Ovis aries: one gene and its partners. Each later gene encodes a partner of the first gene's protein in a complex. Links are inferred from orthologs where the notes say so. Each region holds a gene or a part of one and is shown in the gene's direction. Other genes may lie near its edges. The genes, in order: IRF2BP2, IRF2, VGLL4, ZBTB16 and BANP.

The links.
Region 2: the proteins of IRF2BP2 (region 1) and IRF2 are in contact, whole or in part, in a crystal structure (PDB 8YTG), measured with the Homo sapiens proteins. The link is inferred for Ovis aries from reciprocal best matches to the Homo sapiens genes IRF2BP2 and IRF2. Residues at the interface, in NP_892017.2 of Homo sapiens: His517, Phe518, Val519, Gln520, Pro522, Phe531, Leu557, Trp564, Ala565, Phe566, Met567, Glu570, Thr573, Ile574; in NP_002190.2 of Homo sapiens: Arg331, Ala332, Ser333, Val334, Ile335, Lys336.
Region 3: the proteins of IRF2BP2 (region 1) and VGLL4 are in contact, whole or in part, in a crystal structure (PDB 8YTF), measured with the Homo sapiens proteins. The link is inferred for Ovis aries from reciprocal best matches to the Homo sapiens genes IRF2BP2 and VGLL4. Residues at the interface, in NP_892017.2 of Homo sapiens: Thr516, His517, Phe518, Val519, Gln520, Pro522, Phe531, Leu557, Trp564, Ala565, Phe566, Met567, Glu570, Thr573, Ile574; in NP_055482.2 of Homo sapiens: Arg161, Ser163, Val164, Ile165, Thr166.
Region 4: the proteins of IRF2BP2 (region 1) and ZBTB16 are in contact, whole or in part, in a crystal structure (PDB 8YTH), measured with the Homo sapiens proteins. The link is inferred for Ovis aries from reciprocal best matches to the Homo sapiens genes IRF2BP2 and ZBTB16. Residues at the interface, in NP_892017.2 of Homo sapiens: Thr516, His517, Phe518, Val519, Gln520, Pro522, Phe531, Leu557, Trp564, Ala565, Phe566, Met567, Glu570, Thr573, Ile574; in NP_001018011.1 of Homo sapiens: Arg285, Ser287, Val288, Ile289, Thr290, Ser291.
Region 5: IRF2BP2 (region 1) and BANP share a complex: the UniProt entries of both Homo sapiens proteins name them as parts of the corepressor complex. The link is inferred for Ovis aries from reciprocal best matches to the Homo sapiens genes IRF2BP2 and BANP.

What each region holds. Positions count from the first base shown.
Region 1 is NC_056078.1:6,782,331-6,788,518, reverse strand, and holds the start of IRF2BP2 (interferon regulatory factor 2-binding protein 2), read left to right. Parts: upstream 1-2,527; 5' UTR 2,528-3,232; coding exon 3,233-4,283; intron 4,284-4,885; coding exon 4,886-5,601; 3' UTR 5,602-6,188. UniProt on the Homo sapiens protein: Acts as a transcriptional corepressor in a IRF2-dependent manner; this repression is not mediated by histone deacetylase activities. Represses the NFAT1-dependent transactivation of NFAT-responsive promoters.
Region 2 is NC_056079.1:14,057,733-14,063,274, reverse strand, and holds part of IRF2 (interferon regulatory factor 2), read left to right. Parts: intron 1-665; coding exon 666-830; intron 831-2,389; coding exon of another isoform or gene 2,390-2,490; exon of another isoform or gene 2,491-5,542. UniProt on the Homo sapiens protein: Specifically binds to the upstream regulatory region of type I IFN and IFN-inducible MHC class I genes (the interferon consensus sequence (ICS)) and represses those genes. Also acts as an activator for several genes including H4 and IL7.
Region 3 is NC_056072.1:55,573,866-55,579,407, reverse strand, and holds part of VGLL4 (transcription cofactor vestigial-like protein 4), read left to right. Parts: 5' UTR 1-3,253; coding exon 3,254-3,437; intron 3,438-4,214; coding exon 4,215-4,409; exon of another isoform or gene 4,410-5,542. UniProt on the Homo sapiens protein: May act as a specific coactivator for the mammalian TEFs.
Region 4 is NC_056068.1:24,301,925-24,308,004, forward strand, and holds the start of ZBTB16 (zinc finger and BTB domain-containing protein 16), read left to right. Parts: upstream 1-2,307; 5' UTR 2,308-2,550; exon of another isoform or gene 2,551-2,818; intron 2,819-3,196; exon of another isoform or gene 3,197-3,255; intron 3,256-5,865; 5' UTR 5,866-5,955; coding exon 5,956-6,080. UniProt on the Homo sapiens protein: Acts as a transcriptional repressor. Transcriptional repression may be mediated through recruitment of histone deacetylases to target promoters. May play a role in myeloid maturation and in the development and/or maintenance of other differentiated tissues.
Region 5 is NC_056067.1:12,964,474-12,970,015, forward strand, and holds part of BANP (protein BANP), read left to right. Parts: intron 1-1,182; coding exon 1,183-1,299; intron 1,300-2,528; coding exon 2,529-2,704; intron 2,705-5,542. UniProt on the Homo sapiens protein: Controls V(D)J recombination during T-cell development by repressing T-cell receptor (TCR) beta enhancer function. Binds to scaffold/matrix attachment region beta (S/MARbeta), an ATC-rich DNA sequence located upstream of the TCR beta enhancer.

The sequences.
Region 1 (6,188 bases):
TTGCAGACGCATTGCCTCACCCTAGAAACCCTGCTCCTGTGTGTGGAGGAGGCGGCTCTAACTGCTGCAGCAGCCGCTTTGGAAGGGTTCCAACTCCAGTCTGTGCCGGGAGGGAGGGCGGTGGGTGGAAGACGAAAACAAAGCTCTGTTTACTTAGCATACATCGATAAAGCTGCTTCGGAGAGACATGAAAGGCCAGGCAGCATGAAAGACTTTAGATACAATATAAGGAATTGCTGCTCTGGACCCACGGCCAGCCTTAACCCCCTTGATTCCGGATCCTTTTATGGCAAGAGAAACCAGAACTAAAACAAACCTTTCCATCTTCCAGTGGGCATTTCGTTAGGGAAGTTACAACAACTTGAAGTTTCAACACTAAACTGGTAGTGTAAAATAAAAAGGAAATGCTCTTCATTTGGAGAAGAAAAGCTCTGTTCCATAAAAACCCTGACTTAGTACCCCTCAAGGCAGAATTTGGAGCTCAGTGTTTCTATTTTGGGATAGAGCGACAGGCTGTCCCACGAGGATATTACAGTGCCTGCCTGCTTGCAGGTAAATGAGTAAAATTAGGCCGTGGCTGTAACCCCGAGTTGTTTCCTTTTAATATTTCCACCCCAACCTACTGAGGCCACTTCTTGGGGGTATTGAGATGGCTCATCTCTCTACAGCACAGAGCCTGGGTCTTATTCCCTTTGGTTAGTGCCCTAGTGGCTTAAGTTACATGCTAGGAGAGGCTCTGGGTCTCCTAGGAGAGTGACAGGTCCTGAAAACGGTGCATGATAGCAGGGACCAGGTGTGGCCAAATCCACCAGTTGCTGGGGATCGGGGTCCTATCCTCCCAGTTAGAAAAGGGTGAGGCAGGATTGTAATTGCAGGGCAAGATCCGGGAGCAGTTGGGGAGACCTTTATGGAGGCGCACCTTCTCTGGAAATCCCCACAAGACATTCAGGCTTTGCCTGCAAAAACATTTAGCTCTGGCATTACATTTTCTGTGCCATTTTCGAACAGATTTTCTCATGTGCTTTAAGCAGCTCCCTCCACTGTTTCTCTAAGGGTGTTTTTCCTCTTCCCTGTGGTTAATTCTTTGAGGCAACCTGGCATTTTCAATAGCAACAACTAGAGAGAAACGTCAGCAGGATTTTTTTCTCTCTCCACCTACCAATCCAGTTGTAGGGAAGATAATATAATTAGTACCCTGTTCTTCCCACACTTAACCAGCTCATTCCAGTCTCAGGGAGAGAGGTGGGCCTGTTTTCCAACAAAGGAAGCTCGGGAGGCCGCCCTTCCAGAGCTGAAGTGTAAAGGTCCCAACTGAGAGTGACTAAGCCCGCGTCTATTAGTCAGAAAGACTAACGACCAGCCAAAAGTGATTTACCATAACACACGCCAGCTCCTCCTCCCGATAAAAGTGTGAAACTCAAGTGCTCAATTCAGTCTGGGCACAGCCTGTGGCTGCCAACGGTGGCAGAACGCGGCGAGACTGGCTGGCTCTGCACCCACATGTCGCCTTCGCGCCAGGCGGGTTTGCACCCACCTAACCCCATCCTGGGCGGTGTGGTGGGCTCGAGGTCGGCCCTGCCCACCCAGCGGGGCCGGGAATGGCTGAGATCTGCCGGGTCCGCGTGACCCGCAGGCCAGCCTGCCGCTCACCCCCAAGCGCGCGCGGACCCCACCGCCGCTCGTGCCCATGCCCCGCGCCACCTGGAGTCCAAGTTTGGCCCCGTGAACGGGGCCTGGAGGCCTAGAGTCGCCGGCGGGGGGGCGGAGCCTGCGCGGTGACGCGGCCTCTTTGGCCGCTGACCCCGGATCCCTGGAATGTGCATTCGTTCAATGGAGCCGCCAGTGCCAGCGGCGCCGAGTCACGTCTGCGCGGAGCGTGCGCACTCGGCGGCGGCGGCGCACGCGGCCCGCGGCCCCGCGCCCACGTCACGCGGCTGCCGCGCGAACCTGCGCCAGGTGGCCGGGACCCCCGCGCTGTAGCGAGGGCCGGCCGGGAGGGAGCGCGGGGTGCATTGCGCGGTGCTGCCGCTCCCTCCCGGAAGGGCTCCGAGAAGCGGCGGGTGGACTCGATCCTAGGCCTGAGAGCACGCCCTCTTTTAGTAAAACTTCAGGGGACCGGCGGCGCCTGTGTCCTCCCCAAGACCATGCGAGTGTAAAAGCGCTTGCCGAAGAGTTCAAATAAAGCTCCTTAAAAGATGTTTAAAAACGGACAGAACCAAGTTACAAAGTGGCCTTGCTTTTCAAAACACGAGTTTTACACGGTTTGCTCTAAACGGATCTGGAGGAGAGGGAACTCGGCTCGAGTGGTCGAGGCAGCGGAGCGGGTGCAGGGAAACAAGCTGCGCCAGCCACGCGTTCACGTCGGGGACACAGGGCGCGGCGCGGACGGGAGGGCGGGCACAGAGGAGCCGGCTCTCCCAGCAGCGCCCGTTCTGCGGCGGGGGGAGGGGGCGGGGGGGGGGGGGCGCGCGCGCGAGGGGAGGGGGCCCGCGCAGGCGCCTTGCGAGGCTGTCGAAGAATCAAGTCTGTAGAAGTGGAGCGGCCGCGGCGGCAGCAGCAGCAGCGACGGCGGCGGCGGAGCTGAGGCGGGCTGGGCGCTGACGCGGGCGCTGGAGAGCGGCGACGCCAGGAGCTGTGAGAGAGCAGCGGAGCGACCCGGGGTCCGCGCCGCGTCCGAGCTCCGCGCCGCCCGGCCGCCGCCGCCGCCGCCGCCGCCGCCCCGGCGCGGCATGCCCCGCCGCTCGGGCTGAGCCTGCCCCGGCGGCCGCCCCCCGCCCCCCGCCCCCCCAACCTCCCCGCCCCCCGCCCCGCACTCCGCGCCAGCTGCCGCCGCGACCTGCTGCGCTCCCCCGCGTCCGCGCGGCCCGTCTTCGCCCCGGTCTGGAGGCCAGCCGCGGCTCCAGCCGAGCCCCCGCCGCCGCCGCCGCGCCCGCCGCGCCGCGCCGCCCCGCCGCCCGCCCGAGCCCGCGCCGGCCGGGGGGACGTGCTGCCGCGGCTGCAGCCCCTCGCCCCGCGCCCGCCGCCCCTCGTGCATCGGGGGCGCTGCGCGGGCGCCGAGCCTTCGCGGGCTTTGCCGCCGCCGCCGCCGCCTCTGCGGCCGCCGCCGCCGCTGGTGGGGGAGACGCGGGGTTGGGGGGGGAGGAGGGCGCGCGTGGTGCCGGCGGGTAGCGGCGGCGCCCCCTCCTCCTCCGCCTCCTCCTCCTCCTCCTCCGGCGCCGCGGGCTCCTCGGACATGGCCGCGGCTGTGGCGGTGGCCGCCGCGTCTCGGCGGCAGTCGTGCTACCTGTGTGACCTGCCCCGCATGCCCTGGGCCATGATCTGGGACTTCACCGAGCCCGTGTGCCGCGGCTGCGTCAACTACGAGGGCGCCGACCGCGTCGAGTTCGTCATCGAGACGGCGCGGCAGCTCAAGCGGGCGCACGGCTGCTTCCCGGAGGGCCGCTCCCCGCCCGGCGCCGCGGCCCCGGCCGCCGCTAAGCCGCCGCCGCTCTCGGCCAAGGACCTTCTCCTGCAGCAGCAGCAGCAGCTCGGCCACGGCGGCCCTGAGGCCGCCCCGCGCGCTCCTCAGGCCTTGGAGCGCTACCCTCTGGCGGCCGCCGCAGCCGAGCGGCCCCCGCGCCTGGGCTCCGACTTCGGCGGCAGCCGCCCGGCCGCCGCCCTGGCCCAGCCGCCGACGCCGCAGCCGCCGCCTGTGAACGGCATCCTGGTGCCCAACGGTTTCTCCAAGCTGGAGGAGCCGCCGGAGCTGAACCGCCAGAGCCCGAACCCGCGGCGCGGCCACGCCGTGCCGCCCACCCTGGTGCCGCTCATGAACGGCTCGGCCACACCACTGCCCGCCGCGCTTGGCCTGGGCGGCCGTGCCGCCGCCTCGCTGGCCGCCGTGTCCGGGGCCGCGGCCGCCGGCCTGGGCTCGGCGCAGCCCGCCGAGATGGGCGCCCACAAGCGGCCGGCGTCCGTGTCGAGCAGCGCGGCCGCGGAGCACGAGCAGCGCGAGGCGGCGGCCAAGGAGAAGCAGCCGCCGGCGGCCTCGCACCGCGGCCCGGCCGACAGCTTGTCCACCGCGGCCGGGGCGGCCGAGCTGGGCAGCGAGGGCGCAGGCAAAGGCCGCGGGCCGGGCGAGCAGGACTGGGTCAACCGGCCCAAGACCGTGCGAGACACGCTGCTGGCGCTGCACCAGCACGGCCACTCGGCGCCCTTCGAGAGCAAGTTTAAGAAGGAGCCGGCCCTGACTGCAGGCAGGTTGTTGGGTTTCGAGGCCAACGGGGCCAACGGGTCTAAAGCAGGTAGGGGCGGCTGTGGAGTGAGGGGGTTTAGGGGCGAAGCGGGGCTTGAGAGCCGAGGAGGGGGTGCTCTTCCTATTGGCCGTTCTCCCCCGGCCCAGAAATAGCAAACATCCAACTTCCTGATCTGCTCGAGGCGGAACCAGTGCTTAGTGGCAACGTGTTCCTCTGCTGAAGCAGCATAACAGAGATGAGTCAGATGGACCGATAGGCAGCGACACAGGGCTTTCCTTTCCCAGCACATTCCTGGATGCGAGCATGAGGGCACCAGTCACCTTTTAACCTGAGGGTGGGTGGGGGGGGGGGGGGATTGGGGGGCGTTAACTCTCATGTGCACAGGGCAGCCTGGGTACTTGCAGGCCTGTGGAAGAACAGGCAGTGCTTTCCGTGCCTTTTTTTTTTTTTTTTTTTAACTGCTAGACTGCCTCAGAGCCTTCTCAGTCTAAGTGGTTTAAGTTGCACGTGCTCTTGAAACTTGGTTTTTCTGTACCAACTTTGGAGAATAGAAATTCTTCAGAGGGTTGTGTTGTGTGTTAGTGAAAGAAAGATCCTTTTTAGTGCACGTTCATTTATTCTTTTCCCCTTTTCTATCTTTGTTCTTCCAGTTGCAAGAACAGCAAGGAAAAGGAAGCCTTCTCCTGAGCCAGAAGGTGAAGTCGGGCCCCCTAAGATCAATGGAGAGGCCCAGCCGTGGCTGTCTACATCCACAGAAGGGCTCAAGATCCCCATCACTCCTGCATCCTCTTTTGTGTCGCCACCACCACCCACTGCCTCACCTCATTCCAACCGGACCACACCGCCTGAAGCGGCCCAGAACGGCCAGTCCCCCATGGCAGCCCTGATCTTGGTAGCAGACAATGCAGGGGGCAGTCATGCCTCGAAAGATGCCAACCAGGTGCACTCCACCACCAGACGGAACAGCAGCAGTCCACCCTCTCCGTCCTCTATGAACCAAAGAAGGCTGGGCCCCCGAGAGGTGGGGGGCCCAGGGGCAGGCGGCGCCGGAGGACTGGAGCCAGTGCACCCCGCCAGCCTCCCAGACTCCTCCCTGGCCGCCAGCGCCCCGCTGTGCTGCACCCTCTGCCATGAGCGGCTGGAGGACACCCACTTTGTGCAGTGCCCTTCTGTTCCTTCGCACAAGTTCTGCTTCCCCTGCTCCAGACAAAGCATCAAACAGCAGGGAGCTAGTGGAGAGGTCTATTGTCCCAGTGGGGAAAAATGCCCTCTTGTGGGCTCCAATGTCCCCTGGGCCTTCATGCAAGGGGAGATTGCAACCATCCTTGCTGGAGATGTGAAAGTGAAAAAGGAGAGAGACTCGTGACTTTCCGGTTTCAGAAAAACCCAATGATTAATCTTAACTAAAACTGCTTGAATTGTATATATATCTCCACATATATATATATCCAAGACAAGGGAAATGTAGACTTCATAAACATGGCTGTATAATTTTGATTTTTTTGAATACATGTGTTTCTATTTTTTTTTTTGACGACAAAAGGTATGTACTTATAAAAGCATTTTCTTCTTTTGTTAATGTTATTAGCATATCTCTGTGCTTTATTATCCTGGTGACAGTTACCGTTCAATGTAGGCTGTGACTTGCGCTGCTTTTTTAGAGCACTTGGCAAAGCAGAAACGCTTCTAGCTGTATTTGTATGCACTTATTTTAAAAAGAAAAAAAAAAGCCAAATACATTTTCTGACATTGTAAGATTGCCTTACTGTCTGTTGTTATTTACTGCTGGCCCGTTTCTCAGGCTGGAGGCCAATTGGTGGAGAAGGAAAGGAAATGAGGAAAGGGGCAGTGTTGTGAAGTGGGCATGCCACTGAGAAATGTCACCAAGTTCCCCCCAAACATTGCCCTTTCAGAGTAACAGGAAATCGATTGTGAATCTTTCTCGATTTTGTT
Region 2 (5,542 bases), on another chromosome or scaffold:
AAAGCTTGATTTAAAAAAAGATTGAGGCAGGATTCAGAGCCAAGGTGGTCATCCTGTCAAGTGTCTTGAGGAGCTGATGCTGCGAAGGTGTGTTAGAACTGGGAAGGCAGTCTTTTCAGTCGTTCCGATATGACATCCTTTGCCTGCAGAGGAGGAGGAGGGCGGAGAGTATGAACAGAGCATCCCACAGCTAGACATGACACAATAGGGTGGATTTTGGTGGTCCTTCCACTTTATTAAAGTTTGATGAGCTCTCTGGACCCCAGGACCCAGAAACTAGCACAGCAGCTTCCTTTAGAGGAGGAGCAGAGAAGAGAAACGGGTCAGGTTCGAAGCAGTGTTCCCTCTTGCACCCTGGGGTAGGTCTGGATGCGGCCCCTGCTCCTGCAGCCTTGGCCCTGGGCAGGTTGAGTTTGGGGTGCTGCCACACGTGAGCACCGTTGGCAGGGCTATTTCAGCCTTGGGGAGCCAGGTTATTGGCAAGCTGCTTCTCCAGGGACATTAACCCAAAGCGAAGGCTTGTTCTTATTTCATGGCAGATGACATTTGATAACTGGGACTCCAGCTCCTGGGCTCTCTCGGGGGAGGTTTTCTTGCTTGAGAGTGCGTGCCAGGATGGTGTAGGCTGGGGATGGTGGCACATGATGGCCGTCTTTTCTTTAAAGTTGTAGGACAGTCACATCTGGACGGCACCTATGAGGATCAAGAGATTGTCACTAACCCACCGGACATCTGCCAAGTTGTGGAGGTGACCACCGAGAGCGATGAGCAGCCAGTCAGCATGAGTGAGCTCTACCCCCTGCAGATCTCCCCCGTGTCTTCCTACGCAGGTAAGGAGGTGGGTGGGTCAGAATCTCTGCCACTGAACAAGGAACAAGGCAGGGAGGTCCTTTAGTCTAACACATTTTGCCAGCACAGCAGAGAACCTCTCCTCCGTCCTAAGGATTACTCTGGCTGGAATTACTCTGGCTTTAATGTTCTCAAGCAACATTTTCTTAGACACTTGTTCACAGTACCACGTCTTGGTCACATTTCACTTGATCGCCCATAACATATTCACACATGACTTATAAATTAGAAGATTTCTTTGGGGGGGAAGTATGTTCGATTTTACAGATGTTATAGAAAGATGTTTCAGAAAAACCTGAACGAAAGTTTTGGCCAGTGTAACAGTTCATCTGTGTCTGTTTTATTTGTACACATTATCAGAAATTTGGAAGGGTGTTTTTCATGGGATCTGAGTTTGTCCCACCTGGGTAGGACCTTAGGGATCACCTCTTGCAGTTCCTTCATCGGAAGTGAAGGGAAGTGAAGGGATTGCTCCAGGCCAGTAAGTGTTTGGGTCAGAACTTGAACTGAATCTGCAGACCCCACGTTCCATTCTCTCGTTCTGCCAAGTTTCCTTGTCATCTCCACATAGGTTCCACTTCTTCAGTTTAGCAGAGCTTCTCATTGGGCATTTTGAACTCTCTAGGGAATGTCCCCAGACTGGCAGAAATTGGCCCCGATGTCACAGTGTTAGGACCAGATTCAGCGGGCTCTCCCATCCTTAGAGGATAAAGTGGTGGCTCCCTTCCTCCACCAATATTACGTCTTACGTCCTCCTTCTGATGATCTCCACTTGACTTTTTGGGACTCGGTTATAATTATGAAATGTAAGGTCTGAGTCAGGGTTATTCCTTGCAGATACTACAGGTAAAAAGTGGATGTCCTCTGATGGATAACCACAGTCGCTCAGGTCAGGAATTCTTCCCAGGGCTCTTTATGTCCTGCCAGTAGCCTGTCCTTCAGTCTGGGCACCACCCCAGTGACTGGCACAGAGTCGGCTTCAGAATTAGGTGGATTCATGTGACACATTGTTTGTACATTAGCAGCCCCTAAATTAACCTTCTGCTTCCTGAACCCCAACTTGCTTCCATGTCAACTTAATTTTTTTCAATTGTGGTGAAATATCCGTAGTATAACATTTACCACTTTAGCCTTTTTGTTATGATTTTTTTTTGGCCATGCTCTGTGCCATGTGGGATCTTGGTTCCTCGCGGAGGGATGAACCCATGCCCCCTGCTGTGGGAGCGAGAAGTCGTAACCACTGGACGGCCAGGGAGGTCCCCCCACTTCAGCCATTTTTAAGTGCACGTTTCAGCGGCATTCAGTGCCTTCACAGTGTTGTGCAAGGAGCACCCCGTCCATCTCTAGAACTCTTCCACTTTGCAAAACTGAAATTTCGTGCCTGACATACAGTAACTCCCCATCCCCTGCCCCCCGACCCAGCCCCTTGGCAGTCCCCCTTCTACTTTCTGTCTCTCTGCATTTGGCTACTCTATGTACCTCATATAAGTGCAATCATACAGTATTGGTTCATTTGTGACTGGCTTATTTCACTTCGCAGAATGTCCTCAAGGTCCTGACTTTCTTTTGTGCTGCAAACATAAAAGGAAAGTGAGAAGCAACCTTGGCTACAAGAGGCCTATAATCTGCCAAACAGGCTAAGCTTGTCATCAGTTATTTATTCATGAAACATATTTTGAACTCCTGTGTGTACTAGTCCCTGTAATAGAAACTGTAACGATACTGTTTGTTGCGTGTTCGTTGTGCCCTGGAAACTATGCTAAGTGCTTGATGTTGACTGGCTTATTTAATTGTCAGGAGAATAACCCTGGGTACTGTCATTATTATGTCTTTAAAAATTAAGTATCTAAGGCTGCTGGGGTGAAGCAGTGTGTCCAGAGATGGACAACCTGTTGCACAGTGGGACCCACGCGTGGCTGATACTGTTCTTAGCCCTTGCACTGCCATGCTGCCCTGCAGGAACTCGAGGGGCTCTGCCATTCAGAGCAGTCCACATGCCAGGATCTCAAGGGCCAACCAGAGGAGGCAGAGCCAAGTGTTTTTGCCCTGATTTTACAGTGGAGATAACTGAAACCTGAAACTCTCAGCCACTTTGCTTTTGTTTCCCTGACCATGGCTGAAAATGTGTGACTTGGTGTCTCATGCACTGTAGGCATTATTACATCGTTTTTTGTTTGTTTGTTTGTTTTGTTTTTAAAGGGGTTAGTGCTTTAGAATCAACTTTTCTATTTATCTGTTGAGTAAGAGTTTTCTGAAGTGTTCTTGGGGATTCTGGAAGGGCCTCTTCTTGCTGTTCTGCCAGCAGTAGCATTTTGCCTTCGCAGAAGAATCCCAAGAACAGCTGATTCATGCAGAGAGAAATGAAAATGTCACTACCCTTTTCAGGACATTTGCAAGATTTGAAAAGAAGGATTTTAGTGCCAGGCTGGCAGGCAGCGGGGGTTTGCTCAGAGCCTGGTGTTTCAGCCTGGCCTTTATTTCTTTCCATTGTTTTCATTGTCTGAATTCTCCAGAACCCTTTGCAGGGAGGCTTATTGGATAGAGCCAAGGTAAGTCATCACTACTACTTTTCTAGAACCCAGGACACACCAGAAACTTACCTGTTCCTGACCATGGGTAGCTAAAATCTTTCAGTCAGGAATTCCATAGCTTGCTGCTAGGAAAGACAGCTTCTTGGTTGTGTTCCTTTTTAAAGTTTATGGTCTCCACAAAAAAATAGGCTGTTTGCCTGTTTTTCATGACAGGGTCCCTTTGTTTGGACTATTCAAGTGAATTTCAGCCTCCTCTAACCACTTTCATTCATTTAGGAAACTGGTATTTGGAGGCAGTTGTTTGCTATTTTTTTCCTTCTTACTGATCATTGAAATAGAATCCCAGTAGTATTACAAAAACCACATTCATTGTTGCAAGTCAGTCTTCTCCGTGGTCTAAATGTGATGTTGAGCAAAAAAAGGGACAGTTTCTTTGAGTGGACGTACTTGCGCTGTGGGCTTCCCTGGTGGCTCAGTGGTAAGTAGTCTGCCTGTAGTACAGGAGACGTGGGTTCAACCCGTGGGTTGGGAAGAGACCCTACAGGAGGAAATGGCAACCCTTTTCAGTATTCTTGCCTGGGAAATCCCATGGACAGAGGAACCTGGTGGACTGCAGTCCATGGAGTCACAAAAGAGTCGAACATGACTTAACTACTGAACACGCACACTTGCATTATGTTGTTTGAAGACAACGTGAAATTTTAGTTGGATTCATGAAAATTTATTCTGGGACCGGACGTCCCAAAGCCCAACCTTGGGAAACTCTAGAGAAGAGTCCTTTTTATTTTTAAAGATTCCGGTGTGTGAACAGGGATTATTTATTATGTTGTTGGTGGTTTAGTAAGAGAAATCACATTAGTATTGGGGGAAAGGCTGGATGAGAGGATGGAGAAGAAGGCAGAAGACAAAGGATTGATTTGTGATAACTGAGAGAAGGGAGACCAGCCACCAGCAGAAAAGACTTTGGGCCCTTCAGGAAACTGGAGCAGGCTTGTGTTTGTTGGGTACAGCAAAAAGAAAAGTGCTTTAAGAGGACTCAAGTTCGAAGAACTTGCCTGGTGGTCCAGTGGTTAAGAATCTGCCTTCTAATGCATGGGATGCAAGTTTGATCCCTGGTTGGGGAACTAAGATTCCACATGCTGTGGAGCAACTAAGCTGTGTGCTGCAACTGGAGAGAAGCCTGCATCCCGTAACAAAGGATCCCACACACCACAGCAGCCAAATACAGAAATAAATATATATATATATATTTTAAAAGAGGGCTCTGATTTGAACCTTTTCATTGAGACTTGTAGTGAAAGTCATGGAGGAAGTGATCGAGGGAAAAGAATCCTTGTCAATCTTACTAATAAAACTTGTTGAACAACTCTTCCAGAAAATGTACCAAGATGTCATTGTGCAAAAGGGCTGTGACTGAAGACATGTTGTCTCCTTCCAAATCATGTTCCTAAGAAGGTCTGGCAATAAAAACTGGGCTAAGGGGACTCCCCTAGTGGTCCATTGGTTAAGACTACGTGCTTCCCCTGCAGGGGACATGGGTTTGATCCCTGGTCAGGGAACTAAGATCCTGCATGCCAGGCCACACAGCCAAAAAAAAAAATAGAGCAGAAAACAAAAAAGAAAGAAAGAAACCAGGCTACATGGAGAGGGAGCCTAAGACTAGCATCATTGTAAAACTGCAGGTCCTGAAGGGAGCACCCGAACCTCCCTCTTCCCTCTCACCCCGGTTGCTTCTGGGAAAACAGAGACCAGAAAGATCAATCAAACTGCTTAGGTGCCTGCTATTACTCTGTAAACACTACAACTTACTCAGACCATGCTTAGGAGGCAACTCCCCCTTTTTTTTCAATTCCATTTTACTCAAAGCAAATAAAAAACCAAACTGAAACTAATGAAAAGGAAAAATAAAACAACTCATATTGATGTGTCAGCAACAATATTGATTTGGAAGCGGCAGCTGCCGTGAACTTGTTAGTTTTGTGAAAATACCAGTGGTGAAGTAAAACCCAAGAAAACAGAGGAAAACAGGTATGCGTGGCCCCCAACAAAGCACTTTGAGCCAGTGACCCAGGAGTCACTGGAAGTACCTCTGTTCTTCTAGAGAGAAGGGTTTGAGATCCTCAGGCTGGGGCTTCAAGCATCCTTTGCTCCTAAGCTGAAGG
Region 3 (5,542 bases), on another chromosome or scaffold:
TGATGTTTGTTCTTCATAAATCAGGTGATACCCACAAATAACTACTGAATGAATGTTGATTAATCGTGGATAATTGGACTCCCTTAGCATAGTCCCTGCCACTAAAAGGATGGACATCAGTATTATTTTACTTCAAGAAAATTTGGCATACTGGTTTTTTTTTCCTCCAACAATTAAAAATCACCTTACAGGAACATTAAAAGTATCCACTGGCATAACAGAAACGTGGATGTAGAAGATGAATTAGACTTTGTCAGACCAACCTGTGGAACTTAACATACAGGGTTATACTGTCTTTTTTTTTTTTTTCCATTCGTATATCCATAAGCCAGAAACCAGCGTGGCTCGCTGGCTTTTTCACTTTTAGTTTCTCAACATTTAAAGAAATCCAGGTCAGCATGAGTGCTGGGGGAATGATTCAGGAACACGATGAGGGCAGCCTTTTTGGAAGGGTCAGGTGAAGGCACTAGTTAAAACACTGTCCAGTTCTCTGCACTTCGCATGAAAGGTCCCTTGAGCGGGCCTCCTCTTCCCCGTTGTGTGTGTGTGAACATTGGAGCCCTCCACCCCCGTGTGCATGACTGCCCCGTCCCCTGGCTCAGTTGTGCCCATCGCGGTGTCTTCAGACCCCCCCTATCTGTGTCACCTCTTCCAGTGGCCCCCCCCCCCAGTTGTCGGCCATGCGATCTGAACTCTGCCCGTGCTCAGAGCCCGGCATTATCTGACCCACTGATCTCCATAGCCTTACCTCTTAACCAACAGATGCAACAAGCCCTTTCTTCTACTTAGATGGACCTCTCACACACAGGACACCATTCCTGCTCTCGGCCTTTATTCCCACAGCTGTCCCCAACTGGAATGCCCATTTCCATAGTTTCCAAGTGTCGAAATTCTACCTGTTTTTCGAATTCCACTCCTGAGTATATTTATTAGAGCTAGAATTGATGTCTTCCTCATATGACGTGTCCATAGCTTCTCAGTTTTTCTTTTTAACCTGTAATGAGTGTATTTTTATCTTCAAATTACTATTTGAAAACTTCCTCCATTTCACTTCCTAATATGGTGATTGTTGACAGAAGCTTTGTAGCAGAAGTCCTCTGTGGTCCTCAGCAGTTTGGGGGGGGGGTAACAGTTTTATTGAGATACGATTCGTATGCCACACCACTCCTTCGTGTCAAGAGCATCTCTATTCTTTCTGCTTTTAGTTCTTCCTTACCTGTTATTTATCTCCGTGACTTATCGCTCCTGTGAGAACTGCTGTTCCTTGAGGCAAAGATCAGATCTCAAACATCTTTGTGTTTCCCTTAGTGGGGCATAGTTCTTGCTCTGAACATGGCAGGCACGAAAGCTCTTTCAAAAGAACCACGGTTCTTCCTTTCTTCTGCCAGTTCTCAATCCCATACCTTCTTTAGGAGGGGCTGGATTCTAAACCGCTTCGCAATTAGAAGCTCCAGTACTTGGGCCACCAGATGGGAAGAGCCCGCTCACTGGAAAGAGATGCTTGAAAGGTTGAGGGCAAGAGAACGGGGCAGCAGAGCATGAGATGTTGTGTTGGAGAGTCCCTTGGACTGCAAGGAGATCCAGCCAGTCCATCCTAAAGGAAATCAGCCCTGAATGTTCACTGGAAGGACTGATGTTGAAGCTTGAAACTCCAATACTTTGGCCACCTGATGCAAAGGACCGACTCATTGGAAAAGACCCTGATGCTGGGAAAGATTGAAGGCGGGAGGAAAAGGGGATGACAGAGGGTGAGATGGATGGATGACATCACTGACTCGATGGACATGAGTTTGGGTAGACTCCGGGAGGTGGTGATGGACAGGGAGGCCTGGCTTGCTGTGGTTCATGGGGTGGCAGAGTCACACGACTGAGCGACTGAACTGAACTGAAGGAGATTGAGCATGACAAGATGTGTTGAGGTGCTTCAGTCGTGTCCGACTCTTTGTGACCCCATGGACTATAACCCTCCAGACTCCTCTGTCCATGGGATTCTCCAGGCAAGAATACTGGAGTGGATTGCCCTTTCCTTCTCCAGGGGATCTTCCCAAGCCAGGGATCAAACCCACATCGCCTGTGTGTCTCCTGCATCGGCAGGCAGGTTCTTGACCACTGAGCCACCTGGGAAACCCGACGGGATGCTCACACCCATGTTACTCTGAAAGGTTACTTTTTTTAGGGTAGAGAAATTCTGTGAGCATCACCCTAAGCAAGCAGTGGAGCTTACTGTCACCCGAGGTGGTACGCTGAGGCATCAGGTGCCTCCCGTGTGAGGCCACATGCTGGGCACACCTCCTCTCGTTTCCCTGCCGAAAACGTTCACCTTGAATCGAATCACGGGGAAATCATCAGACCACCAGAAACTGTAGGGCAGTTCATTGGCCTGGATCCCCCGGAGGAGGAAATGGCAACGTGCTCCAGTATTGTTGCCTGGGAAACCCCATGGACAGAGAGCCTGGAGGGAGACAGTCCATGGGATCACAAAGATGGCCACGACTGCGCACTCACACACTCATTTAAAGATATCATTTAAAAAAAAACACAGAAGAGGAAGAAAGACAGAAAAAGTCCCTGGGAAACTAGAGACTCGGCAGCTCTGTCACCCAGGGTCTTGATTGGATCCTGGATTCTGTCTGCTTCATCCCCCTGCTTTTCTGAGACAGTCCAGTTGGGGAAATTTGAATCTGGACTGGATATTAGATAACGACATTATGCCAGCTTTAGCTTTCTTGGGTGTGATGATGGTTCTGTGTCTGTGAAGGAGACTCTTCTCGCTCTGAGAAGACAGTTGAAGTGCTTGCAGTATGATGTCTGCAAGTTACCTTGCAAATTAGAGCAATTATAGTAAAAAAAAAAAGCTGGATATGTGTAGACAGACAAAATGAATCAAGGTAAGGGGAATAGGATATTCACTTTTCATTACAGTTCCAGTAGCTTTAAAATTATTTTGACACAAAGAGTTGGAGAAAATAGAATTATGCCCTTGGGCACTTGGATCTTTGAGTGACAATGCTGACAAAGATCTTCCTTTAAATTGCTTATTTTACCGGTCTTCACGGGGATTGGGCGCTTAGATCACATGGGTGCCTGAGATCCCCGTGCTGCGCTCACCCTCGGCATCGTGGAGTCTTTGAACTCTGTGTCCTGTTTTAATCCTTGGAAAATTCACTCTGGCTCCTGAACCCAGCCTGTGGAGCAACGATAAGGAATCGGGTGGATTGCCGCCTCTGTGCGGACAGCAGAAGGGCTTTCTGAGATGCTGGACTTGGGGTGTCTGCCACACCCCAGCGACTTGCAGGCTTCCGCGGTGGCGGGGGTTCGGAGCTGGCGTGAGATCCCGTGTTGGGGTAGGCGGGCCCAGCCTGGCCTTCAGGAGTGCGGACGGCAGTTCGCGTGTGAATTCTGCATTGGTTCCTGGGAGCCTCGTCGTCTTCCTTCAGGTCTGGACTAGAACATATATATTTCTGGGAACCAGACTGTACCTGTTTGCCTCTCGAGAGACTATAGCAAACACGATGGTGTTGATCAAAATATCTGTAGTTTGGGAGCTTCCACCGGGCCGTTTTACAAGAGATGCTTCTGGGGCAGCAGGCCACGTTGGGGTTGGGCTTGGAAAGTGGAGGTGGCTGCGCTGGTCACAAGGAATTCTGAGCGCATTCTGGGGGAGCAGGGAAGGTGTCCAGAACCAGCGAGGGTGTGGAAAGTGTGCCTGGGGCTTGGAGGGGCACTGGAGCTCTGGGCGCTGTGCCAACTTTCCCGTGTCTCAACTTTCCTTGAGACAGGCCGGGGCTGCTGTGTGGGTTTATGTCTTTTTAACACACGTGGCGGCAGTCCAGGCAGTCAGGTAGCTGCCCCGAGATGGCCTGCCGCCTCCCGGTGGTCAGGTGGGGCCCCTCCCTGACCCATCTTCTGGGGCGATGATCTGCTGTTAGTTGGCGGGACACGGCTCACCCGCTGACCTCTGGCCAACAGAGCGGGAGTGACCCTGGAGAAGTCCCCTTTCGTCCTCTCTGTGGGAGTCGTAGCAAAGGATGAAATGGAACAGGTGGCTGTTCTGGGCTGGAAACTTCCTGCAAATTTCCACTGATGCTCACTGTGATCTCCCACGGTAGCTGAGGACAGAGGTGCGAGAGAGGTGGAGAGACTTGGCCGAGGTCACACCTGTCTGCTAATTTATTCATTTCTCAAGTGTGTGTTTATTTCTTTGGGCGCACCAGGTCCTTGGCTTCGGCGTGCGGGAGCCTCGATCTTTGCTGTCACGCGGGGTCTTCAGTCGCAGCCTGTGAACTCTTACTGTCTCACGTGGGATCCAGTTCCCCGACCAGGGATCGAACCCCGGCCCCCTTCATTTGGAGCATGGAGTCTTAGCCACTGGACCACCGGGGAAGTCCCAAGATCACACCTTTTGAAAGGTTGCACTCCATTTATACTTATTTTAAAATAGGCCATCAGTTCTCATGCAAATTAAGTGGGAGAGGAACCTTCAAGTTCTCATATAATCGAGTAGATTGCAAACTGATTTGGAAGAGTATTGATCTTTGGAGATAAAGTTTAAAATTTTTTTTTGATTGGTTTATTTATTTGAAGTATAATTGCTTTACAGTGTAGCCACACGGTTATTTTAAATGATGTAAAACCTGCTAGGTAAATGAACAGCAACATAGGAATGCAAACATAGCAGTTTTTAAAAATTTACTTAAAAATATTTTCAGGGCTTCCCTGGTGGCTCAGACAGTAGAAGAATGCCTGCAAGGCAGGAGGTCCTGGGTCGGGATGGTCTCCTGGAGAAGGGAATGGCTACCCACTCCAGTATTCTTGCCGGGAGAATTCCTTGGACAGAGGAGCCTGTTGGGCTACAGTCCATGGGTCACAGAGTTGGATGTGGCTGAGCGACTAACACTATTTTCAATTAGTGCCTCTTTATTTGGGGGGCGGGCGTTGCTGCGATGGGTCTCTGTTGCGGGACCCGGGCTTTCCCTAGTTGCAGCGCGCGGGGTGAGACTCTGTTGTGCTTGGGGTTCTCGTGGCTTGCTGCCGAGCACAGGCTCTGGGACACGTGGGCTCAGTAGTTGGGGTGCATGGGCTTAGTTGCCCTGCCACTATGTGGGGTCTTCCTGGACCAGGGGTTGAGCCCATGTCCGCTGGATTGGCAGGCAGATTCTCATCTACTGTACCACCAGGGAAATCCCAGTTAGTGCTTTTTGATATCAGGTGGTTATTTCTCTTTACCTTACTAAAGCGTCCGAGGGTATATTTAGAATGGATATTTAGGAATTACAGAATTCTTGTCCTTTCTGTGGGATTTTCTTTCTGCCCCTTCTCCTCTTGCCTCTGAAGAATGACAGATGTTTGAAACCATTGGAAGCTGTCTGCACTGTCTACCCCTGCCAACAGTCAGAGTGAGCCCCCCGCCCCGCCCCCGGCTGCATCTCTGGGACCCTCCCCTATACTTGTGCTTTTCAGAGAGAGCCTTGCTCTCCCCTTTGCGAATATTCTTGCTGAGACACAGCTCAGGCTGTGTCTGCACTTTTCCAGGTCACGAGCC
Region 4 (6,080 bases), on another chromosome or scaffold:
TCAGGTGCATAGCAAAGTGATGCAGTTATACATATATTTAGATTTTTTCCATTACAGGTCATTACAAGATACTTAATATAGTTCTGTGTGTGTGTGTGTTGTCTCTCAGTTGTGTCCGACTCTGCAACCCCATGGACTGTAGCCTGCCAGGCTCCTCTGTCCATGGAATTCTCCAGGCAAGATACTGGGGTGGGGAGCCATTCCCTTCTCCAGGGGACCTTCCCCACCCCAGGACTGAACCTGGGTCTCCTGCACTGCAGGCAGATTCTTTCCGGTCTGAGCCAACCAGAAACCCCTATAGTTACCTGTCGTCCTCGTGGTCCTGTCGTCCTCGTCGTCCTCAAGTCACTCAGTCGAGTCCGACTCTTTGCGACCCCATGGACTGTAGCCTGCCAGGCTCCTCCCTCCATGGGATTCTCCAGGCAAGAGTACTGGAGTGGGTTGCCATTTCCTTGTCCAGGGGATCTTCCCAACTCAGGGATCGAGCCGGGTCTCCTGCATTCCAGGCAGATGCTTTAACCTCTGAGCCATTTGTACGACACAGTAAATCCTTGTTGTTTATCACACCAGTTCTTTCTCAACTTTCCTTAAATTTCTTTCCTCTTACAGACTGTAGATCTTAGCTAGAAAAGTAGCCCTATCATAGACTGCTCTTTATTGTTCATCAGAATACCCAGGGACTGGGTTTTCCCTGGCATCCGTCAGACACTGCGGTGTAACTAACTCCCTTTCTTCACTTTCAAGTGGCTTCTCTCCCCCGACTCCTGCAGGCAGGTCTGAGCACTTTTCCTGCGAGGAGACAAGGACGGGCTTGCTGGGATGGAGCTGCCTGTTCTCGGGTCTGGTCCGTTAGCAGCTCTTGTGAACTCGGCTCAGTTCTGATGGAAACTCTGGCCAGCTGGCCTTGCCAGGCCGGAAGTGGATTTTTGCCTCTAGCGGGCTTCTGCCATCTTCCAAGACGCTTTAATTCTTGGGGCCTGACCCTCGGTTTGGGGCAGTGCCAGAGGGCGCATCGGGATACACTCATGCGTGTCTGGTGGGAAGCCTTTGACCCACCCCCTTGTCAGGGACAGGGTGGGGACTCCAGATTCCGTGATTGAAGCCCCGCATTGCGAAGATTGTATGACCTCCAGGGACGACTGTCTGGAGACCCAGCGAGGGCGCTCTCCACCACTACCCTCACCCTAGCCGGAAGTCAAGGTGTGTGCCCAGAAGAAGGGCGTTTTCCACCTCTCGCCCACCACCTTCGCCAAGTTCCAAGGAAAGGGTGAAGATGGGGGCTCTCCGCAGCCCGCGGAAGGGCGCATGTCTTCTGGTTGCTCTAGGGATTCCTGACCTCAGCTCCGCCCTCTAAAGTGGAGCGATCAGCAGAGAGGAGGCACTTTGGGGAGCCTGGAGCTTCTCCAGGCTCTCACTCGCCGCCCCCTGAAGACTTTGTCCCGAACTGAGCTCAGTTCTTGCGGAATTGCTTCCAGCCAAGGTTCCCTGGGGGCCGGGGGCGGGGGGAAGGGGGGCGGCGGCGCAAAGGGCGGGGGGGAAGTTTAGCGGATGCTCAAGACTGGCAAGAAGTTTCCCTCGCGCCTCGATCTTGGCCTCCAGGGGTCGCGACAGCTAAAATGGGGGCGTCTCCCCTCGACGACAGATCCCCGCGGGAGCCTCTGGCACTCGGTTCCCCTGGGCCCGCGAACTCTGCGCCTGGAGGCGAATCGCAGTCTGGATGCTCAGAAGGCCTGGAGGCCCCAAAGCGCTGGGCTTGGGTACCATGAAAACGAGCTTCTAAAGACGACGGCGGGGTCGAGGGGTGCCGTCCCGAGCCCCGAGAAAAAAGTGAAAGGCGAGATGACACGCACTCATGGGGCAAACGTTGGGAGAACAAAATTCTGAGCCTGGAAGCAGCAGGGAAACACAAAACCTGTTCCCACTGGAGATTAAAATTCTGGGGGTTGAAGATGGGGGCAGCTCCTCGCCCCTCATCTCCACTGCCCCCACTGAGACGCCCAAATCCCTGGTGCGCCTCTCCACGAGCTCCTCCTCTCCTCTCCGCCTGGCCGGTGAGCGGCGGCCGCCAGCGCCCCAGCAGCAGCTAGATGTCAGGCGAAGCCCGGCGCGCGGCGCGCGGGGAAGGGAGGGGGACTGCAGGGGAGGGGAGGGGTGGGGCGGAGAGCGCGCGCGGGCTCGGCCAGTGCGGGGGGGTGGGCGGGCTGAGCCGGGGAACGGCGCGGGAGGGGGGAGGGAAGGGGGGCAGCTGTGGGCAGGGAGCCGGGCTCGGCCGCCAGCACTAAAGATGGAGAGGCGCCGGGGCCTCGCAGGGGAGGGGGCTCGGCGTTGACGTGGGACGCGGCGGAGGCGCCGCAGCCGGTGGTGATTTGCTAACCTCGCAGCACAGAGGAGTTGAGGGCGATGAGAGCGGGTACTGCGAACTGCCGGGCGATGCCGCCGCTACCGCCGTGATACCGAGAGCAACAGTTCCCCAGCAACACCCCTCCCAGACAGAGGCACACACCCCCAAGAGGCACGCACACCCACCCCACGGCACCCGGCTCGGCAGCGGTGAGTTGGAGGCCAGGGAGAGGCGCACTGCCCAGAGATAGCTCTGCGCCCAGGCACCCCAGGGCTGGAGAGGTCTGGGGGGGGGGGGGGGCGCGCTCGCTTCGGCCACTCGACCGCTGGGCTTCTGCCTTATTTTATTCGGCTTGTTCCCTTCCTGCTGCTGCAGCCGTCGCCGCCGGCGGTTGGGGGTCGGCTGGAAGGGGGAGCCCTGGCTGTCAGCTTGGGCGCAGTTGCCTCCCCAACCTTTCCACTCCAGGGCACAGTCGGGGTGAGAAGTGGGGGCCAGAGCGGTCTGCGGGGCCGGGGGTCACAAGCGCAGGGCTGGGAATAGGAGGCTTTGTACCACCAGGGGCCGGCGGAGGAGCCGGGAGCCTGTGGGTGCTCATATGTATGCCGACCGGTGCGCGGGCGCGAGATAGGGCTGTGGTTTATTTGTGTGTTTATTCTCCCGCCAGCTGGGAAGCTAGGATCGGAGGAGTGGTTTTGGGGGCGGAGGGGAGCCGGACTGGGAGTCACTTGGGTTTTGTTTCTCTTTGGAAAACGTGGTGGGCTCCTTTTTCTTGATTGGACTTGATCCCCCCGGTTTTGGGGGGGAGGGGCTCCGTGGTGGAGCGCTGGAGTGTCTCCAGCGCTCCGGGCCCTCCTCGGCTCTCGGCGGGACCGGCTGTGGCGCCGGAGCTCGCTGTGCGCTCCCGGCCGCGCTCGGTGGGTGCTCCGCTCTGCACCTGATGCGTTCGGGATGCCTTTCCCACCCCTGCGCGCCGGCAGCTCGCTCTCACAGCCCCTCGAACACTCCCGCACGCGCTCGAAATGCGCACGATCTCGCCGGCCCGCGGACCCGCTGGAACGCACAGACGCGCTCAGCACCGACTCGCTGGCCGCTCCCCGGAACGCTCGCAACGTGCCTGGGCCGGGCGCGCCTGCTGCTGGCGCCACCCGCCCGAGGCCGGGGACCTTGTCCGCCGCTCGCGGGGATCCCCGCCCTGGGTTGGAGAGAGAGGGCCCTCAGATCCCTTCTCGCCTTTCCTCCCACAACTCGTCGGGCTTTTGTGCTTCCCCTTCGCCTCAAGGCGAGTCCGCCTTCTCGCCTCTCTCGCCCCAGCATTCGGCCCGCCTGAACTCTTGCCTTTCGCCCGGGTCTCTTTCGCTTTTCTTCTTTCCTAACCCAGCTCCCTTTCTCGTTGCCATCTGGTTTCCCCGGAAAAGTTGCTTCCCCAAGTTTGCTGAAGTCGTCTCCAAGTCTCCGGAGGGGGTGGCTGGAAACGGGGTGGGGGGTGAGGGGCGGGAAGGTGTGAGCGCGCGATCGATCCCCGGAGCTCGAGCTGGTTAGCGCTGGCTTTCCGCCGTGACGAGGGGCACGGCGCTGCAGCCAGCACCAGCCGGCTCCCGGGCGCCGAGCCTCGGGTTTCGGGGACGGCTGATCAGGGCACCCTGATTTCCTTCAGGACCCACGGTGCTTGCTTTGGGGAAGGAATTCGGGTAGACTAGCTTCCATTCTTTCGATTCCTACCTCCTAGTTCTCTGAAACCCAAAGTCTGCGGGGAAAGCGCATGGTGGCAAGGCGCTTGTGAATGGTCACCCCCCCCCCCCCATGGCCTCCGTTCTCACCCCAGGGTGGGGAGCAGAAGTGTCTTCTTGATTGACTGCCCTGTTAACCCTTTCTAAGTAAGATTTGTGGCCTGGAGTCAATAGGGTTCCCTTTGGGGGCGGAGGCCAGCAGTGTTCCAAGAGGAAGAGCCCTTGCTCTGCGTTGCTCCCAATTGATTTCACAGCAATATTGGCCACAGCAAGGCCGAGGCTGGGAGGGACTTGGGCCTGTGAGATCTTTCAGACACGCTTTAGACAGGTTTGGGAGACCCAGAGCCCTGTTACTGATCGCAAAGAGCACTTGGAGAGAGGCCTTTGTCTCCAGCTCAATCTTCCCTTCATGCTGGTAACTCACACCATAGATGCTGGTGCCAATATCACCTCTCACCCCTTGGAGCCAGGTGTAGCAGTCCAGCATCAATTCCTCTTTGGGTCATGGGACTTGCCCACTCCCGGGAGCCTGTGGGAGATCCTGGGGGTTTGTGTTCCCAGCACATGCACTCCTGGCTTTAGGGGTACCTGTTTTCTAGGATCTCTCTGTAGGCCCTTCAATCCCTAGCCTGCATATTACAGGTCCTCCTCACTACTGGGCACTTGTGGGCAGGAGATAAGTGCAGCACATTATATAAGTGTGGCACGTAATGTAAGTGTGGACACGTGTGCTTGGGACTTCCCAGGTAGTGCAGTGGTAAAGAATCACCTGTTAATGCAGGAGATGCAGGAGACGTGGGTTCAACCCCTGGGTGGGGAAGATCCGCTGGAGGAGGAAATGGCAACACACTCCAGTAGTCTTGTCTGGAAAACTCCGTGGTCAGGAGCCCGGCAGGCTACAGTCATGGGGTCACAAAGAGTTGGACACGACTGAGCATGCACGCACGCACGTGTGTTAACTGTTTCTGTTTCTTTGGCTGGTGCACGCACATACATGCACACTACACAGCTGAGGTTTTGGATTACTTATACAGTCACTTTGAGGTACCCATGATTGGGAGTGAGCCAAGCTAGTTCATAGACTATGTGTGTGTATTTCTCTTAGGGCTTAAGGAGAGGGTCAGGGCGTGGGTTCATCAGCCATTGGCAACCCTGAGAAGAGTGGAAGGGTAGAAACCCAGGAAGGCATTAACTGAGAGTGAAAAGGTGGGCTGGAGGAGGAGAACCTTGCCTGTAGATTTCTTTGAGCTGCTACTCTAGGCTGCTAGCCCCAGCTTGGCTAGGTGTTGTTCCTGGGGCTACCACAATGAGGCAGGATTTAGAGAAACTTTGTTTTGAAGATGAGATTTGCTGCACAGGGGGTTGAAAGTGAAGTTGAGTGCTTACACTGACTAGAAGAGGGGGTTAAATTCTTACTCATTTAAGTTAAGCACTGGGCATCTTCTCACAATCAATGTTGACTTTGCACAGGAGCCCCCCACGCTCAGATTTAAAGCTCAGGACTCACAAGACTCCACAGTAATTTTCATTTTACTTCTTCTAACAGATGTCATAGACCAGTGAATTAGGCCTGTGTTATACAGCAGAACCTTCTCTTTACTCCCATCATTCTTGGGCCTGTAAAGGCAGTCATGTAGATTTCTAGGAAGCCCTTCCCCCCTGTTAAAATCTCCAGGACTGTCTTGCTGCAGGTTTGGGGCAGGGGCTATTGATTGAATTCTTACTTTTAGGGACAGTAACTAATCTATCTTTTGTTCTTGCATCTCTTTTGCCTCTTTCCTCATTTCTCCCCTCTAGCCCTTGCCATTGGCCCAGGAAACGCACCCTGCCCCGCCACGCAGAGCCAGGAAGGAAAGAGAGCCTCATGCCTAAGCCTCGGGGAGCACCATGGATCTGACAAAGATGGGCATGATCCAGCTGCAGAACCCTAGCCACCCCACGGGGCTCCTGTGCAAGGCCAACCAGATGCGGCTGGCCGGGACGCTGTGCGATGTGGTCATCATGGTGGACAG
Region 5 (5,542 bases), on another chromosome or scaffold:
ACCTGTTGTTTGTGGCTCACCTCTCAGCCCGTGAAAGGGCTCACACGCCACTGGGGTGAGGAGATGGGTGTCTCTGTGTGGGGACCTGGGTGACAGCAGCCTTCCGGGAACACACTTGGGAAAATCCCATCTCCTGTTAGGACACATGCGTTGCTGAGGCCGTCACATAGGAGCCCGTACATGTCACCTCGGTACCTGGCCACCTATGATGCTGACCTGTGGGTGGGTTGTCAGGGCCTGGGGGATTACCTGGGTGTCACTGACAACTGAGTAGAATAACTGAGAAGATGGTAACGGCTGTGAATGGAGCACAGTGACTGTGGTTTATTTTAGGAAAACACCCCATGGTCCTGTGATTCATTGCGTCAAGTGGCAGGAAATGGCACCATCTGTACCTCTGATTTTGGGAGTGTTGACAGTATGTGTCTGGGACTGTGGGGTGGGGTTCTCATGGATGCTTTGGGGTATGTGAGTGCTCCGCCTGTAAAAACAGGGTCTTCCCAGCGCTGATCTTTTGGGGTGAGGTCTAGGGATGTCTTTCTTCCCGGGTGACATAGCTGTGCATCCTGACCACCTGTTCTTTCTGCACAAGGCGTGGCCAGAAGCACCGAGGATTGGAGGTCTCAGGAGCAAGAAGTCTCGACGACTGTGTCTCCCACGTGTTTAAACACACATTTCCCCTGAGGAACAGCCCCTGTCAGGGCACAGTTCTTTGAGCACGATTTTCTTCAAAGCACAGTCTCCAGCCTTGGGCTGTGGGTCCTGCACTGGCCTGGCAGAACCCTGTGGTCAGTGCTGTGCAGTCACCCGTGGCCCCTGCTACAAAGGTTTGTCCCTTTGCGCACAGCACTCTCACCTGGCAAGGGACTGAAAGCCTAGATTTCAGAAGGGAATTCCCTGACTGTAGAGTGACAGCTGTGACACCTGTCTCTTCTCCGTAAAGATGTGAACGTTCCTAAGCCACTTCTCCTGCTGGTACCAACTAGGAGCAGGCTTAGACTCTGTTAAGAAGCCCCCACCGCCCCAGCTGGCCCTCTGCCGGTGTTGCTCATGTACGTCGGGAGCCCTGCTGGGCCTCCCCTGCTTGGAGCAGGGCAGGGGCGCTGACTGTTGATGACTCTGCTCTCCATGAACGCTGTCGTGTTAAGGTCTTCTTTTCTCTGTGATTCTTTTGTTCCCTAGCGTCGTCCCCCAGACTACAGTAATTCTCAACAGTGATCGGCAGAACGCCGTTGTAGCCAAGATGGAAGACCCCCTGAGCGGCAGGGCACCGGAGCCCCTGGAAAATGTCATTAGCAAGTCAGTAGCACGACCCCCACCTCTCACCACCACTGCCGGGCCCCGGGGACGGGGCGGCGTCCAGGTCGCCCGTGTCTTCGGGCCCTGTGTGCTCACTGTGGTCCGCGCGCCCTGTCCTCTCACCTCACTCCCATCTGTCTGTCTGTCTGTCCGAGCATGTCGGGTCGGCGGACACCCCGTCTCATTGGCAAAGTGGTGGAGGCATGTAGAGGTGGTGCCTTCTCCACTCCTTTCTCTGGAGACGCTTTGGCTGTAACCTGAAGCTGAGGCGAGGGTGCGTGGCGGGCATCTTTGCCCCTCATGTACAGGGCCCCCCCTCCCCGTGGCATTGGCCCCGCCATGCTGCTTCCCAGCGAGTCTCGCAGGCCCTCCTGCAGCAGTCCTGCTGCTTCCTTGTGGCCCAGGCCCCCAGGAGCCCGGCCAAGGGAGGTGGGTGCAGACACGGGGCCAAGGCCACAGAGCAGACAGCCCATGAGACGGGCCTGGCGAGGGTGGCGGTCATGGCAGGTCCAGAGCATTTAGTGAGGTCCAGCCCCGGGATGGAGCCCCGACCCCCACCCCCGGGATGGAGCCCCCTCGAGCAGGGACCTCTCACTGCTTCCCCTCCCTGGGTGCAGCCGTCTCTTGAAGGAAGTCGAAGGGTCACATGTCTCCAGATAAATTTTTTTTTTATTTTGAGCATGTTTTGGAGCTGTGGTGGTCTGGTTTCCTGGCGGTGTCTCACTGCTCCACATCAGGGTCCCTTGTGGTGGTGAGAGGGTCCCCCAGGAGGCTCTTGACTGGCTTTGTTAGCCCGCTCGAGCGGCTTCTGTCAGCGGGGGACAGTTGGGAGCAAGAGCTGCGTCCTCCCGGGCCATCTTGTTCAGAATGTCCCGGGACGGAGCAGTTCGGGGCTGTCATCTGAGTCTGCAGACGCTTTCCCAGAAGTCTCTATGACCCCGACAGCAGTGCTGTGCAGGGCCCGCTCCGTGATGGGAGGCCCGGCCTCAAGTCACAGCCTGTTGCGATTTCACTTCTTTAAACGTTTCAAGTTTCGTGCAGTTTCTTGGAGCCGCAGACTGCTTCCTGCTGTTACCGTGAGCAGGAAGAGCTGCGGGAAGGCTGGTGGCGCGGCGCGCGTGCCGGGATACGCCTCTCTGGGATGCGAGGGGGAGCGTGCGTGCAGAACTGTCTCCGCGTGCTGCCATGCGTGCTCTCACCACGCTGCTGGTGTCTCTGTTTCCGCGCAGCGCGGTGCCCGGGCGTCGGCAGAACACCATCGTGGTGAAGGTGCCGGGTCAGGAGGACAGCCACAATGAGGATGGGGAGAGCGGGTCTGAGGCCAGCGACTCCGTCTCCAACTGCGGGCAGTCAGGAAGCCAGAACATCGGCAACAACGTCACCCTCATCACCCTGAACTCGGAAGGTGCGTCCTCTCCACACGTGAGGTAACGGGTGTGCAGTGGCCCTTGAACAGCATGGGCTGGAGCCGCAGGGCCCATGACACGTGGACTGCTCACTGGCGACCACGGAGAGGGATGACTGGCAGTGATGTGTGAATTTCTGACCACGTGGAGAGTGAAATGCCCACAGGGCTCAGGCTTTTTCCCCCCCGTTGTTTAGAAAAGTAATAGATATTTATTGCTTTTGAAAGATGATAAAATATAAAAATGACGAAGGAAGTGAGAATAACTGGAAACATTTCTGGCCCAGAGAGCTCTACAAATCACATGCTGTATTTACCATCCTATAACTTGCTTCTCCTCACTGCATGGTAGAAATCTCTCCATGTTAATACTGATTTACATAATCGTTTTCAATCAGTTTCACTAGCTGAATCTGGTTCTGGTGATGGGCAGTTGTGACTTGATAGCTGGTGGTCGGCTCACCTGTCTTACCACAGCTCTGTCCTGTGTCTCTGACAAGGGTCAGGCTTCCATTCAGAGGGACTGTGTGTCCAGGTCGAGGCCATGCTGGGAGCTGTGCCGCCCCTGCCCAATGTGATGTAGGGGGACCGTCCTCTCTCCTGTGGGGTCTGGGGTCCACTGTCACTTGGCCCTGGGTCTGGGAGGTGGCCTGGTTGTGCTCCAGAGAGTTCCTGCCGCCTGGCAGCTCTATCCTGCTCTCGAAGGTTGAGTTAATGTTTCCCAAACAGGCCTTATGACAGCGCCTGGAAAGAGATGTGATTACTCGGCAGATGTAGCATCGTGTCACCAAGTTCTTAAGTTGTAGTTTGTTAACTAGAGAGGGCTAGTGGGGTGTTTCTGCTCCTCTGTCCAAATTGTTGATTTTTTCCTAAAAGTGTAGATTTTTCTACAGACAAAGATTGTCCCATTTGAAAGACTTGTTACCACATTAAAATGTTGAAAACAAAGTTCTTTTTAACTCTAACAGAAGTTGCAGGATTGAGATGTCAGAGTGGGCACGGGCAGAAGGTTTCCATTCCATGAAACTGACCATCTTAAAGCAGACGTGCTGGCAGGCTTTAGTCCGTTCACAGAGTGCACAGCACCACCGTCTAAGTCCGGGGTGTTTTCCCCAGAGAGACCGCATGGCAGGACCCCGTGCCCCGTCCTCCGTCCCGCCGCCTCTGACCAGCCTCTTGTCTCGGGTTGCTGGTCGTGCAGGCTTCGCCTGAGGGAAGCACTGGCACCCTCCTGTGGCGCGCACCGGTGCTCCATTCTTCTTTTTGGCCGCATGACGGCCCATCACGGAGGCACGTGCTGTTTGTCCATCACCCGTCAGTGGGCACCGGGGCTGTGCCCACTTTCTGAGTGTCGTGAGCAGTGCTGCTTTGCACATCTGTGTGCAGGTTTTTGCGTGTGTTTTCATTTTTCTGGGGCTGATACCTGGGAGTGGAATTGCTGGGTCAGGGGTGCTACTCTATGACTTACTGAATGTGAGGAAGAGAGGTGCTCCTGACTTCATCCTGGTGGACGGCGAATGAAAATTACACTTGCAACAGCTGCAGAGAAAGTTCTTATTCTTCATCCATGTGGGTTTTGGGTAAATTAACCTCCCTAGATCTGGCTACTTACTTTAGACCTGATTTGTTTGGTTTAAATGGCATCGGCTCCAAACATGACATGGGGTCATTTGGGGGAGTCTGGGATTATCATAAAAACAGAAGATATTTTCTTTTGTTTCTTAATGTGGTATGATTAATGTGAGTCAGATGTGAATGTACATAAAAGAATCACAGTTTGAGCTTCTTAGTATTACTATCTATAGGGAAAAAGTACAGGTTTTCTGGGGGTCTGAGTAGGAGGTTACCACTGTCCTCTGGAAGGTCCCCCCGCAGTTGCAGTGTCCTGAGTGTCAGGTTGAGTGTCCTCGGTTGGCCTGGGGTTTGTGAAGACGGAGCAGAGATGGCGCGTGCGCCTAAGTGGCGAGGACGAGTCCTGTGGAGCTGCCACGGGCTGTCTGGTCAACATCTGAGCGATTCAGATGCCCTGAGCAGGGGATTAGCTGTTTCCCTGCCACACCCTCCCTGGACTGACCCGCCAGGCCTGGAGAGTGCCTATCGGAGAAGTGGCATTAGCTCATAGGCGCTGAGGGGCCAGAGTCCTCTTCCTTCTGATAAGAGCCCAGGGCTGCACTGGACATATGCTCTGATTTCTTACCAGAGTACTTCTGTGCCTCACTGCAGACAGCCACGGATTTTCATAATGGTTATTTCTTAGAAATCCCACGTGGTCTGTGTGGATTGGCATGCCGTGCTGTTCCCTGATAGATCTGGAGGTGTCAGGGGTCTCAGTTCAGTTCAGTTCAGTTCAGTCGCTCAGTCGTGTCCGACTCTTTGCGACCCCATGAATCACAGCACGCCAGGCCTCCCTGTTCATCACCATTTCCCGGAGTTCACTGAGACTCACATTCATCGAGTCTGTGATGCCATCCAGCCATCTCATCCTCAGTCGTCCCCTTCTCCTCCTGCCCCCAATCCCTCCCAGCATCACAGTCTTTTCCAGTGAGTCAGCTCTTCTCATGAGGTGGCCAAAGTACTGGAGTTTCAGCTTCAGCATCATTCCTTCCAAAGAAATCCCAGGGTTGATCTCCTTGCAGTCCAAGGGACTCTCAAGAGTCTTCTCCAACACCACAGTTCAAACGCATCAATTCTTCGGCGCTCAGCCTTCTTCACAGTCCAACTCTCACATCTGTACATGACCACAGGAAAACCATAGCCTTAACTAGATAGACCTTAGTCGGCAAAGTAATGTCTCTGCTTTTGAATATGCTATCTAGGTTGGTCATAACTTTTCTTCCA